Ovis aries: one gene and its partners. The protein of the gene in region 3 interacts with the protein of the main gene of each other region in a pairwise test. Links are inferred from orthologs where the notes say so. Each region holds a gene or a part of one and is shown on either strand. Other genes may lie near its edges. The genes, in order: FGFR1OP2, GFAP and UBASH3A.

What was found.
Region 1: the proteins of UBASH3A (region 3) and FGFR1OP2 interact in binary tests that used the Homo sapiens proteins (3 or more experiments, as listed by UniProt). The link is inferred for Ovis aries from reciprocal best matches to the Homo sapiens genes UBASH3A and FGFR1OP2.
Region 2: the proteins of UBASH3A (region 3) and GFAP interact in binary tests that used the Homo sapiens proteins (3 or more experiments, as listed by UniProt). The link is inferred for Ovis aries from reciprocal best matches to the Homo sapiens genes UBASH3A and GFAP.

What each region holds. Positions count from the first base shown.
Region 1 is NC_056056.1:188,458,304-188,461,951, forward strand, and holds part of FGFR1OP2 (FGFR1 oncogene partner 2), read right to left. Parts: intron 235-3,648; 5' UTR 233-234; coding exon 98-232; intron 1-97. UniProt on the Homo sapiens protein: May be involved in wound healing pathway.
Region 2 is NC_056064.1:44,354,751-44,358,336, forward strand, and holds part of GFAP (glial fibrillary acidic protein), read right to left. Parts: intron 2,447-3,586; coding exon 2,321-2,446; intron 2,161-2,320; coding exon 1,940-2,160; intron 1,160-1,939; coding exon 1,116-1,159; intron 762-1,115; coding exon 642-761; intron 1-641.
Region 3 is NC_056054.1:263,379,375-263,383,509, reverse strand, and holds the start of UBASH3A (ubiquitin-associated and SH3 domain-containing protein A), read right to left. Parts: upstream 2,840-4,135; 5' UTR 2,822-2,839; coding exon 2,709-2,821; intron 532-2,708; coding exon 478-531; intron 1-477. UniProt on the Homo sapiens protein: Interferes with CBL-mediated down-regulation and degradation of receptor-type tyrosine kinases. Promotes accumulation of activated target receptors, such as T-cell receptors, EGFR and PDGFRB, on the cell surface.

The DNA of each region.
Region 1 (3,648 bases), on a different chromosome or scaffold from region 3:
AATACTAGTTAAGCAGAAGTTTGTAATAAAAGCAACACATAAATGTCAGTGACGGTCTTTTAAAAATAGAATCAACAGGGGGAAAAAAAAATCAAACCTGCTTCATAGCCTCTACTCGCTTATTGAGAGCAGTGGTTTGCTCAATCAAAGATTCTGCTGCATCGTCGTGGTCTCTCAACCTTTCAACAAGGGCTTTAGCGTCAGCAAGTGCCTTCTCAATGGTGCAACTCATTTCTAAAGGAATACACAGGGTTAAAAACGAAAAACAGATTCAAAAGAAAGCTGGCATATCAATCTTATTCTAGTTCCACTTTAACACACATTATGCTTAAGCTATATTTGTTACTGAATCGTTCACTGTCTCAGGATGAAAACCATCTAAGAACACATGTGGTTTTGATCCTGTTAAGATGGAACAAACTTGAAAGTGATTTTATAATATTCAAGAAATTATACACAACATATATAAATATATATAATTATATACTACATATATACATATATGTGTTTATATATACACATTATATATATATGTATGTGTGTGTATATATATATATGTATGTATGTATGTATGTATGTATATATATATACACACATAGGGCTTCCCTGGTGGCTCAGAGTTTAAAGCGTCTGCCTCCAGTGCGGGAGACCTGGGTTGGGAAGATCCCCTGGAGAAAGAAATGGCAACCCACTCCAGTATTCTTGCCTGGAGAATCCCATGGACTGAGGAGCCTGGTGGGCTGCAGTCCCCGGAGTCACAAAGAGTCGGACACGACTGAGTGACTTTACTTACTTTACATATATATATATATACATATATACATGTATATATGTATATATATATATATATATATAAGTTTGAGAACAAAATCAGAACGTATTTAAAACACCCTGAATATACAGTGGGGACAAAAGTGTACATTCACTAAATACATTTTATGTTATATAGACTCCTCTATTCATAGGATTCTTCAGGCAAGAATAGTGGAGTGGGTTGCCATTCCCTTCTGCAGGGGACCTTCTCAACCTAGGGATCAAACCCATGTCTCCCGCGGCTCCCACATTGTAGGTGGATTCTTCAGCGCACTGAAGAACTGATGCTTTTGAACTGTGGTGTTAGAGAAGACTCTTGACTTGGACTGCAAGGTGATCAAATCAGTCAATCCTGAATATTCACTGGAAGGACTGATGCTGAAGTTGAAAACTCCAATACTTTGGCCACCTGATGGGAAGAAGTGACTCACTGGAAAAGACCCTGATGCTGGGAAACATTGAAGGCAGGAGAAGGGGACAACAGAGGATGAGATGGTTGGATGGCATCACCGACTCGATGGACGTGAGTTTGAGCAAGCTCCGGGAGTTGGTGATGGACAGAGAAGCCTGGCAGCTGCAGTCCACGGGGTTGCAAAGAGTCGGACAAGACTGAGCAACTGAACTGAATGTTATATAGAAATTGCACTCTTCGTGAGGGCAATCCCTATCTTGCCATTTGTGAAAAAAGGTCATTTTATTATTTTGTATTCTGCAGTCAGTGACTGTCAGGTCTCCGACCATATGACCCCTCCTAGCCTCCGCTTGGTCAGGTGACCTCAGACACCATCCACAAACGTACACTACTAACCAGGCAAAGCGGCCTCTACGTGTCATGCTACACTAAAGGATCAACCTCCTTCTGGAGGAACTTCAGCTTCTCATAGGAAAATTCTCAGTAATTCTAACTCTCGCACTTTCCTTAGTAAATGGCAAAGGAAGTGCTAACTTAGAGCAACACTGGCCATTACGGGAAGCTTCTGATACGTTAAAGTCAGTGACTCAAATGTATAAAAGAGGCTGAAAGGCCAGGAGACAAAACATAACACAGCCAACAGTTAGCTTCTTCAACTGATACGCCGAGACCTCAAAACAAAATTTTTATTTTAAAATCTCTCAAAAACTTTAACATTCTGACACTGATCACTCTTGAATTTTTCTCTTTCTACTGTTTTGCCTTATTTTCTGTTAATATACGAGCCACCCTTTACGATTTTCTCAAAAAATAAAATTACTTTGTAATGTTTCTATGTCATAAGCCAAATCTATAGCAATTAAATTAAAACTCATGTGTAGAACAAAGTTAAGGGCTATAATTAAGGATTTTCACCAAGTTTAGGAAGACAGAATATAGGTCTTTTTAAGATACTACTACATGGGACTCGTTAGGTTAATTGTTAGCCCCTCAGATACAGAAAAATGCAGCAAGAGATTTAAATAACCCAACTGTGTAACATTTTAAAAGAAAGAAAATACAACACATCCCACCATTTTAGCAGGCTTTCATTAAGATTATACCTAGCAAAGATTAAAAATTGCAAATTAAATAAAGATGAAAAAAATTCAAACAGTATTCTTGGTTGTACCCAACAGCTGAAGCAGAGAGTATATTGTCCTGTTTTTATAAACAGGTTCAAAGCTGAATAAAAAGATTTAATCAAAATAAAATAAAACTGCCAATTTATAAAATGTTCCCTATATGACCAGACATTTCCAGAGATCTTTAAGAATTAAGCTGGAAATTAATACAACTTCTGTCTCTCTAGATAAAACAACCAAAATATTTGTCTTCAAAGATTTAGGAGATTTAGATAAGGGCACTTCAAAATACAACAGCAAAAGGGGCCACTAAAGGAACCAATTCTTACTGTAGGTTAAAACACGAAAGGACAGTCATTAAAATCTATCTAAGATGTCCTCCAACAAGGCCTTGCCCTTCTGGAATTACCTAAAATTAGAGCTAGGCAACAGTACAGCTTTCTCCAGTATTCTTGCCTAGAGAATCCCAGGGATGGGGCAGCCTGGTGGGCTGCCGTCTATGGGGTCACACAGAGTCGGACACGACTGAAGTGACTTGGCAGCAGCAGCAGAGCTAGGCAACAGTACAGCTTTCTTATTTATATGGGGGTCACTGTATCTCTATGGAGAATTCACTGTATCTCTATGGGGGGCTTCCCTGGTGGCTCAGAGGATAAAGCGTCTGCCTGCAATGTAGGAGACCCGGGTTCGATCCCTGGGTTGGGAAGATCCCCTGGAGAAGGAAATGGCAACCCACTCCAGTATTCTTGTCAGGAGAATCCCATGGACAGAGAAGCCTGACGGGCTACAGTCCACAGGGTCGCAAACAGTCGGACACGACTGAGCGACTTCACTTTCACTTTACTTTCATCTCTCTCTGAGTGAGTGTTAGTTGCTCAGTTGTGTCTGACTCTTTGTGGCCCCACAGACTGCAGCCCTCCAGGCTCCTCTGCCCATGGGATTCTCCAGGCAAGAATACTGGAGTGGTTAGCCACTTTCTGACCCAGGGACTGAACCTGGGTCTCCTACACTGCAGATTCTTTACCATCTGAGCCACCAGGGAAGCCCCTATATCTCCATATCTCCCATCAATTCCACTAACTATAGAACATCAGATTTTTTTAGAGTAAAATTACATTTAAAAACAGAAAAAAATGTCTTACAGTAAAAATAAATGGTTGCAACAGATGTTGAAAGAAAATAAAAAAGCAAAGTCTAGAGAAAGCTGTGAAAGATTTGAGATGTTTATCTTGATTTAACAGAACAACTCAGGTATGAGGACCTTGACAGTCCGAGGTCCCAACGTGTAAACGACACTAT
Region 2 (3,586 bases), on a different chromosome or scaffold from region 3:
TCTTCTGATACTGAACTAAGCCCTCGGACATGCATAGCTAGTGTTCCTAAATTTCTAGTCCAGAAGAATTATTTTTTCCCTCAGCTGAGAATTATTTGAGGGCCACATACAAGTAAGAAGCAATTTATTCCCCCCTGCAGAGAGAAAAATGTAACATGTCACACTCACTAATGTTTAATATTAAGAGCAGGGGACATAAAACTTTATTCACTCCAAGAGCAGCAGTCTAGAGGGAAATAATCCTCTGGGCTGAATCAGCCCTGAGCTGAACAACCGAGCCTCGGGGACAGAGGAATCAGGCCAAGAGCCTGGCTGCCAGGCACCGTGAGACTCTAGGGGCCCTCCTGGTGATGGGGAAGAGGTGAGGCAGAAGCTGGTGTTTGCTCAGAGGCCCAGAGCATCTGAGCTGAGTACCCGAGGACTTAGCACCTTGAACACTGGCCAACTCTACTACTTTAATGTACATTTACCCTGTGCCAGGTCCTGGACTGGGCGCTGAGATTGCTGGGGAAATGACACAGGGTTGGCCCTTTAGGGAAACCTGGGAGGAGGGAGCTCAAGAAGATGGGGAAAGTGGGCTTGGTGAGCTTGCTCCCTATTAAGGTGAAAAAAGCACCATGTCTAAAAGGCAGGCAGCTAACCGAGAGCCGGCGGGGCTCCATCTACAACCTGGTGAGCCTGAATTGGTATAACTTGTATTGTGAGGCTTTTGAGATGTCTTGTGACCTTGTGACTTTCCCCTTCTTTGGTGCTTTTGCCCCCTGTAGTGACAAGCAGTTAAAAAAAAACACACAAACATCAAACACTCAGCTGGACAGGGATCTGCAGACAGGTGAGAGGTTAAGACCCTCACTCAGTTCTGCAGTGGAATGGGGAGTAGGCATGGGAGGAGGGACAAAGGGCAGAGCAGGACAGGAGTGGCTGCAAGCCCCACCTGGAATGCTCTGGAATGGTGTGTTCTGGCTGGAAGTTCTGCCATGAATATTGAAGGTCCCCACAGAGAGCACTGGGCCCCTCTGCCCTGGTCCTCGGGCTCAGACCAGAAGAGCAACCCACAGGCCTGGGGAAGGGGGCGGGAATCCAACACTCTGCCCACAAAACCCTGTTCTACTGACCTCGGATCTGCAGGTTGGAGAAGGTCTGAACAGGAATGGTGATGCTGAAAGACAGCAGAAGGAGAGGGGTGACCAGCCTGCCAGAGGACACTCCCAGGCCAGATCCTGGTCCAAGGTCACCATAATAGCTTCGAGGCCCTCTTCCTTGCCAGGAAAGGCGGACCTCCATCTCTTAGCTTCTCCAGCAGCCAACACACTCCCCGCGCTGTAAGAGCTCTGGGGGAACACCTCCACTCAAAAGAGAGTGAGTGCTCTGAGGATGACAGAGGGGAGGGGAGAGCAGTGAAGAGAGTTCCCAGGAGGCAGAGGAGATTGGTCAGCAGAAAAGAAGTCCAGTCTTTGTTGGGAGGGTGGGGAGTGAGCCTTTTAGTTTGGAAGATAACCCAAGTCCTTACCCTAGGATCTGATCAACATGGGCTGAATTGAATCCATCCATTCATTCATCAGGCATTTATGAATACCAACTGTGTGTTAGGTGAGCACTGTGCTGGGCGCTGGGATAGGAGGGGGCTGGTCACGAGGCTGAATAAGACAGTCCCTGATGGGGCTTCCCAGATGGCGCAGTGGTAAAGAACACACCTGCCAAAGCAGGAGACACAAAGAGACGTGGGTTCTATCCCTGGGTCGGGAAGACCCGCTGGAGAAGGAAATGGCAACTCACTCCAGTATTCTTGCCTGGGAAATCCCATGGATATAGGAGCCTGACGGGCTACCATCTATGGGAGTCGCAAAGAGTTGGACATGTCCGAGCACACATGTATTCGTGAAGGGAGCAAGGCGACTCTGGGGCGGGGCAGTAGGGCAGGCGGCCGGTCTGGGCTCACCGGTTCTCCTCGCCCTCCAGCAGCTTCCTGTAGGTGGCGATCTCGATGTCCAGGGCCAGTTTGACGTTGAGCAGATCCTGGTATTCCTGCAGGTGGCGCGCCATCTCGTCCTTGAGGCTCTGCCCCTCTTCCTCCAGCCGGGCCAGCGCCTCCTGGTAACTCGCCGCCTCCCGCGCGTGGCGCTCCTCTTGCTCGCGCATCTGCCGCTCCAGGGACTCGTTCTGTGGGTGGAGCCGGACCGTTCCCCGAGGCCCCGCCCCAAGAAACTTTTCAGAGCTCCGCCCCGAGCCAGTCCTTCAGCGTCTGCTAGGGCTGTAGGTCCCAGGTTCCCGGCTCGCTCACCCGTACCCCTCCTCCGCCTGCGGCCCCGCCCCTGCTCACCGTGCCGCGCAAGGACTCCAGGTCGCAGGTCAAGGCCTGCAGCTGCCGTCGGTAGTCGTTGGCCTCATGCTTGGCCTGGCGGAGCAGCTCCGCGTTGCGGGCGGCGGCGTCGTTCAGGTCCGCGAACTAGATGAGGAGAGGGCTTTATGCTGGAAGGCGGTCTGGGGCCGCATATCGCGGGAGCTTAGTGGGCTCGGGGGGTTGGTACGCGGTCTGGAGGATCAGGGAGATGGGCCGGACGGTACGGCTGTTTTCCAGCCCACCCCACGCCACTGGCACTGGGTGGGATTATTCACAGTCACCCGTGGCCCATGGACACAGACACAGACGACATTGCTACTTCTCTAGCATCTAGCTCAGTGCCTGATGAGGGAACGCGTGAATGAGCAGAGGGTGTCACAGAGCCCAGACTCTCCAGTAGCTCCATCCTCGGGACTGAATCCTGTCCTCCTAGGTCACACACAGGGAGCTCTGGTGAGCAGAGACCAGGTTCTAATAACCCTCTCTCCTTCAGCCTGCTCTGAATCCCTCATGGTTCCATCACGCCTTAACCTGCTCAGAACCATCCCTGACTTCTGCCACTTACACTCCTCAGCTCCATGCCCTGGGCCAGGATCTCCGGGCCCCCACTTTTCTGTGCTTTATGGCCTCTACTCAGGCTGTGTCCTGCATGCCCTTCCTGAATGCCCTTTCTCTCTTCTCTGTATGTTCGTAGGCTGCCAGTCCCGCCTGGCCCCACTGCCCTCCCATGAAATCTGTCCTGCTTCCGCGTTGCGTGTAAACCCTGCCCTGCTGCGTTCTTCACAGACATCAAGCTGAGTGACATCACATCCCCCTGGTCAGACGTGTCTCTGTATGCAGGGCAGAGCCTGGCATGCAGCAGATACTCAGTAACCCAGGATGCAGATGGCAGAAGCATCAAGAATGTGGGCTTGGGACTTCCCTGGCAGTCCAGTGGTGAAGGCTCCACCCTTCCAATGGGCGAGGCGTGGGTTTGATCCCTGGTCAAGGAACTAACATCCCACATGCTTAGAGGCATGACCAAGAAAGCCCCCCAGATAAACAGTTAAAAAAAAAGATAAGAATACAGGCTCTTAAGTGAGACAGCTAGGGTTAGAAATCCAGCTCTATTGCTTAGGAGCTGTGTGAATTTGGCCAAATTGGTTAACCTCTCTGGACTTCAGTTCTGTCATCTATCAAAGGACAGTACCTACTTCATGGTAAGATAATCCTTGCAAAGCCCAGGGCCTAAAACACAAGAGTGTT
Region 3 (4,135 bases):
ATTCCTGGGGCAGGAGAGCAAGGCTCGTAGCAGTGGGAGGCTGGCAAAGCCGCAGAGCTAGAGGCTGGCAGGGCCGCCTGGAACCCAGAGCTCCCCTGCACCTGGCACCCTTAAGGTGCAACGTGCCAAGGCCTGGGGGCTCTCACCACCACCTGCCAGTTCTCACTCCATCAGAAGTGGAGAGAGTGGCGACCTCGATTTCACATCAGCAAAAATGTCTCTTTCTTGTTTATTCAACAGCAAACCACATGAATGTTTCTCTTCATTGATAGCCACATTGGGATCATATCAGAATTTTAAGAAATCTTAAGAAAACGTTGTTCAGAGTTTTCTCTTTTGTTTTCTGTTCTAGCTGGGGGCTTTTTACTGCTTTCTCTGGGCACCGTGGGCTGCATGGAGGTGCCCGCCCACCAGGGGATCCTGGGGACCTCCCAGCTCCCATGCAGAGACCCTACAACCTGCAGGCCCCCCACTCACCAGTTTGATGCCTCCTCTGCCGTCTTCCTTCCAGTGGCTGCCAATGCCTTGAGCCTGTGGGAGGCAGAGCGCAAGGAGCTCTCAGAACGCTAACTTTCATTCTTTGGAAAAGGTCGGGGTTGGGGGGTGTCTCCACAATACATCGGACCTTCAGGAGGGACCCCAGGGAGCTGGATGGTTAGACCTCAGAGCGTGATGCAGTGCCCAGACCTCCACCCTCTGTGCAACATCACAGTGGTTTTGGAAACACAGACTGCTTGCATCTCTCCACTCCCACCCATGGTTTCCCTTCCCTGGCCCCCACCCCCAGTCCCTGGCATGGAGACCAAGGGTTCATGCCCTGAGGTTCACCCCTGCCTGAATCCCACCTCGCTAATCCTCCCCCATGCACTCTCAGATCTTCAAGGCAGCCAGGCAGGGCCATGGCCCTGGCTTGTACACGTGCCTCCCTGACCACATGCCCTGGGGGAAATGGCACAGGGTCTTCCAGGCTAGGCTCAGGTGTTCTTCCTCCAGGAAGCCCTCCCTAAAGTGCTCAAGGAGAGTGCACGTGCAGCTCTCCTGTGCTTCCCCACCACACATGGCCACCTTGCCCCTCATCTCAATGGACTCGTGTCCGCCTGCCTGTCCAACCATCTGCGAGCTCCCTGGGCTTAACTGTGTCTTACTCATCCTTGAAACTGGGATGTATGTACAGTGAATTGAGTTTTAACCGAACGGGCCCAACTAGACAGAATGGAGTTTGATGAAGGCAATTCATCCTCAAATTTAGCCTGGATATCACCAGGAACCTGAGATGGCCACTGCCCAGTGGGGCTATTTCAGAGGATGCTGGTGGGGCTGAGGCCACCTGGAGAGGTTAGCAGGAGACTTACTGGGGTGCTCCCACCCAGGGAGACATTTCAAACATGTCTCTCCAACACCAACACATAGCTAATGTTTAAACTGGAAGGAATTGGGCTTAATTTGGTCACGCCTTGCGGCATATGAGATCTTAGCTCCCCAACCAGGAACTGAACCCACACCCCTTGCATTGAAAGTATGGCGCCTTAACCACTGGACCGTCAGGAAAGTCCTTAAATTGGAAGGAATTTTAAGTATGTGTCTAACGGCAACTTCAGTCACATAATGAAGAGTGAATTTTATAGGCACCGGGACTGCGGTTCCAGCCCTGCCCCTCCTCTACCTTCCCTTTCGTGCCTCTGCGTCCTCATCTGCACCTGATGGACGGTGCCCAGGATGGCGTCCAGCCTACGGCAGGCAGCCACGCACATGCCTGATCCAGTTCCTGTCTCACAGACTCCCGGTTTACTGTGAATGCCACATGACAACAAAGTCCTGATTTGGGTTGGGGAGAAGAGGGGTCCAGCCTCATTCATTCCACGCAGTTGGGCAGGGGTTTGTTATCTGTTTAGGGTGAGATTGCCCCCTCCCCATCCACAGTCACCTAAGGGGACTTCTGATGTATTTCTCACATGAATATGGGCACGAAAAGGATCAGATCTAAGAACAACGTGGAAGCTGCCACCACTGCCAGGCTCAAAGCTCATCATTCTGGAGGGGGGATCCTTCCCTGGAGGAGGGCATGGCAACCCACTCCAGTACTCTTACCTGGAGAATTCCATGGACAGAGGAGCCTGGCAGGCTATAGTCCATGGTGTTGCAAAAGAGTTGACATCACCTAGCTGACTAACACCTTCACCTTCCCTCTCGGGTGGGGATACTCAGGGTGGAGTCGTCTCTGTGTGGCCCTTCTCCTAAGATCACATCCTCCCTGCTTGGGGGCTTCCTTAACCATTATCATTATCACACAATCAAGAATCCTTACCCACAAGGGGTTTCTCTGCATTTAGAAGTAACATTCCTGTGTATTTCAACAGGTCCCAGAATCAGAGACCGCCCCTGACCGACTTAGGGGCTTTCAAAAGTCTCAAAAGCCATCTGTGATTATCCAAACTGCCCATAGAGAGGGTCAGCCAGGCATCTCCAAACCCTGGTTCCAATTTCACAAACCTCAGGATCCCACCATCACCAGAGAGCAAAGTCTGTCTTTAAAAGGCAAAGCACGCGTCGTTTATAAAAGCAGAAAAGGCCTCATTTTGAGATGAATCCCGGGCCTGCAGGGTGCACCCCTTGACAGGAAGTCAGGGCTCTGAGCTGCCCGCAGTTCTGTGACCACAGCAGGGTCAGCTCGGAGTCCGGGAAGCCGGGCCAGGCCGGGCGGTACTCACGCGGTGTGCGCCGGGAAGCCCATGCCCAGGAGGGGGTCCAGGAGGGAGGGGTTGCTGCGGCCCTTGAGTTTGTTGAAGACCTTGGCATAGAGCTGGGTCTCGCCCGCTGCCATCGCTTCCTGCTGCAGACTGAAGCGAGCAGATAAAGCTGAGAGGCTGAGGCTAAGAAGAAAACCTCAAGCCCTTTCTGATCTTTCTGACAAAGCTAATATCCTGTTTGCATGAGATACTGCTTTTCAGAGTTCTCTTTGCAGAGTGTGGGTGCAGGGTCCACCAAGCCCCTTCTACAGTGGGGTTTGGGGTCAGGAGGTCATGGGATCGGCTTGGTTCTGACTTGGGCTGGGAGAAGTCTGCCTGGTATGGGTGGGAAGGGAGGCTGGGGGAGGGGAATCCGGGGTGGGGTTCTTTACTGGGTCCCACTGGTGGCAGAACCCTGAGCCACCTGGATCTTAGTTTCCCTATCTGCAGAAGACATTAAACTACGCTGTATCTGTTGTCCCTCATAGTTCTGAAATTTTTGGCTCTTTTAGTTGTTCATTGATTTCTTTTCTTTCCTGTAAAAATATAAAGTTTAACACGCATGCAGAAAAGCTGATGAATCCTACGTGGAGAGCTCATAGTGAACTGACACCCCCTAATCCTCCAGGACCAGCAGCAAAACAGAGGTCCTTGACCTGGGACCTCTTCCCAGGTCCCTATTCCCAGGGACCACTGGCATTGTTGGGAGATATTTTGATTGTCACCACCAGAGGAGGGAGTGTTTGCTAGCTGTGCCTAGTGCGGGGAGGCCAGGAACGCTGCAGCAAAGAAGGGTCCAGCTCAAGATGCCAGCAGTGCCAGAGTTGAGATCCTCTGTTCGAAACATCAGCAGAACCTTGGAAGCCCCCCGGCCCCAGCGCCTCTCGCCCAGCCTCCTAGTTTCCTCCTCCTTTCCCGTAGCTGTTGCTCTCACTTGTATATTAATTTTGCTCCTCTTTGAACCTGACATAAACAGAACCGTATGGTGTGTTCTCTTCTATGCCTGTTCCTTTTGCCCAAAATCATGAGCGTGAAGTTTATCCATGTTGAGAGCAACCACATTTCAATGTATTGCTGTATATTTCACTGTATTGTGTTCCAGCAGATAAATGCACCATGCTTGATTCCGCTGGTTCTCAGCTGATGTATATTTGGGTGCCTTTCAATTTTGCTGCTTCAGACATTCTTGGTATATTTCTTTGAGTACCCGACGCACGAATTTCTGTTAGGCACCTGTCTCAGGGTGGGATTGTGTGATCACAGGACTTGTTCATCCTTCACCAGACACTGCCAAGCAATTTCACTCCGCAGTCGTACCAGCTCGCCCCCTCAGCAGCAGTGGATTGAAGTTCCTGCCCACACTTGATGTTATCAGTCTTGCAGCCAATCTGGGGGTGTGTCGTGGTATC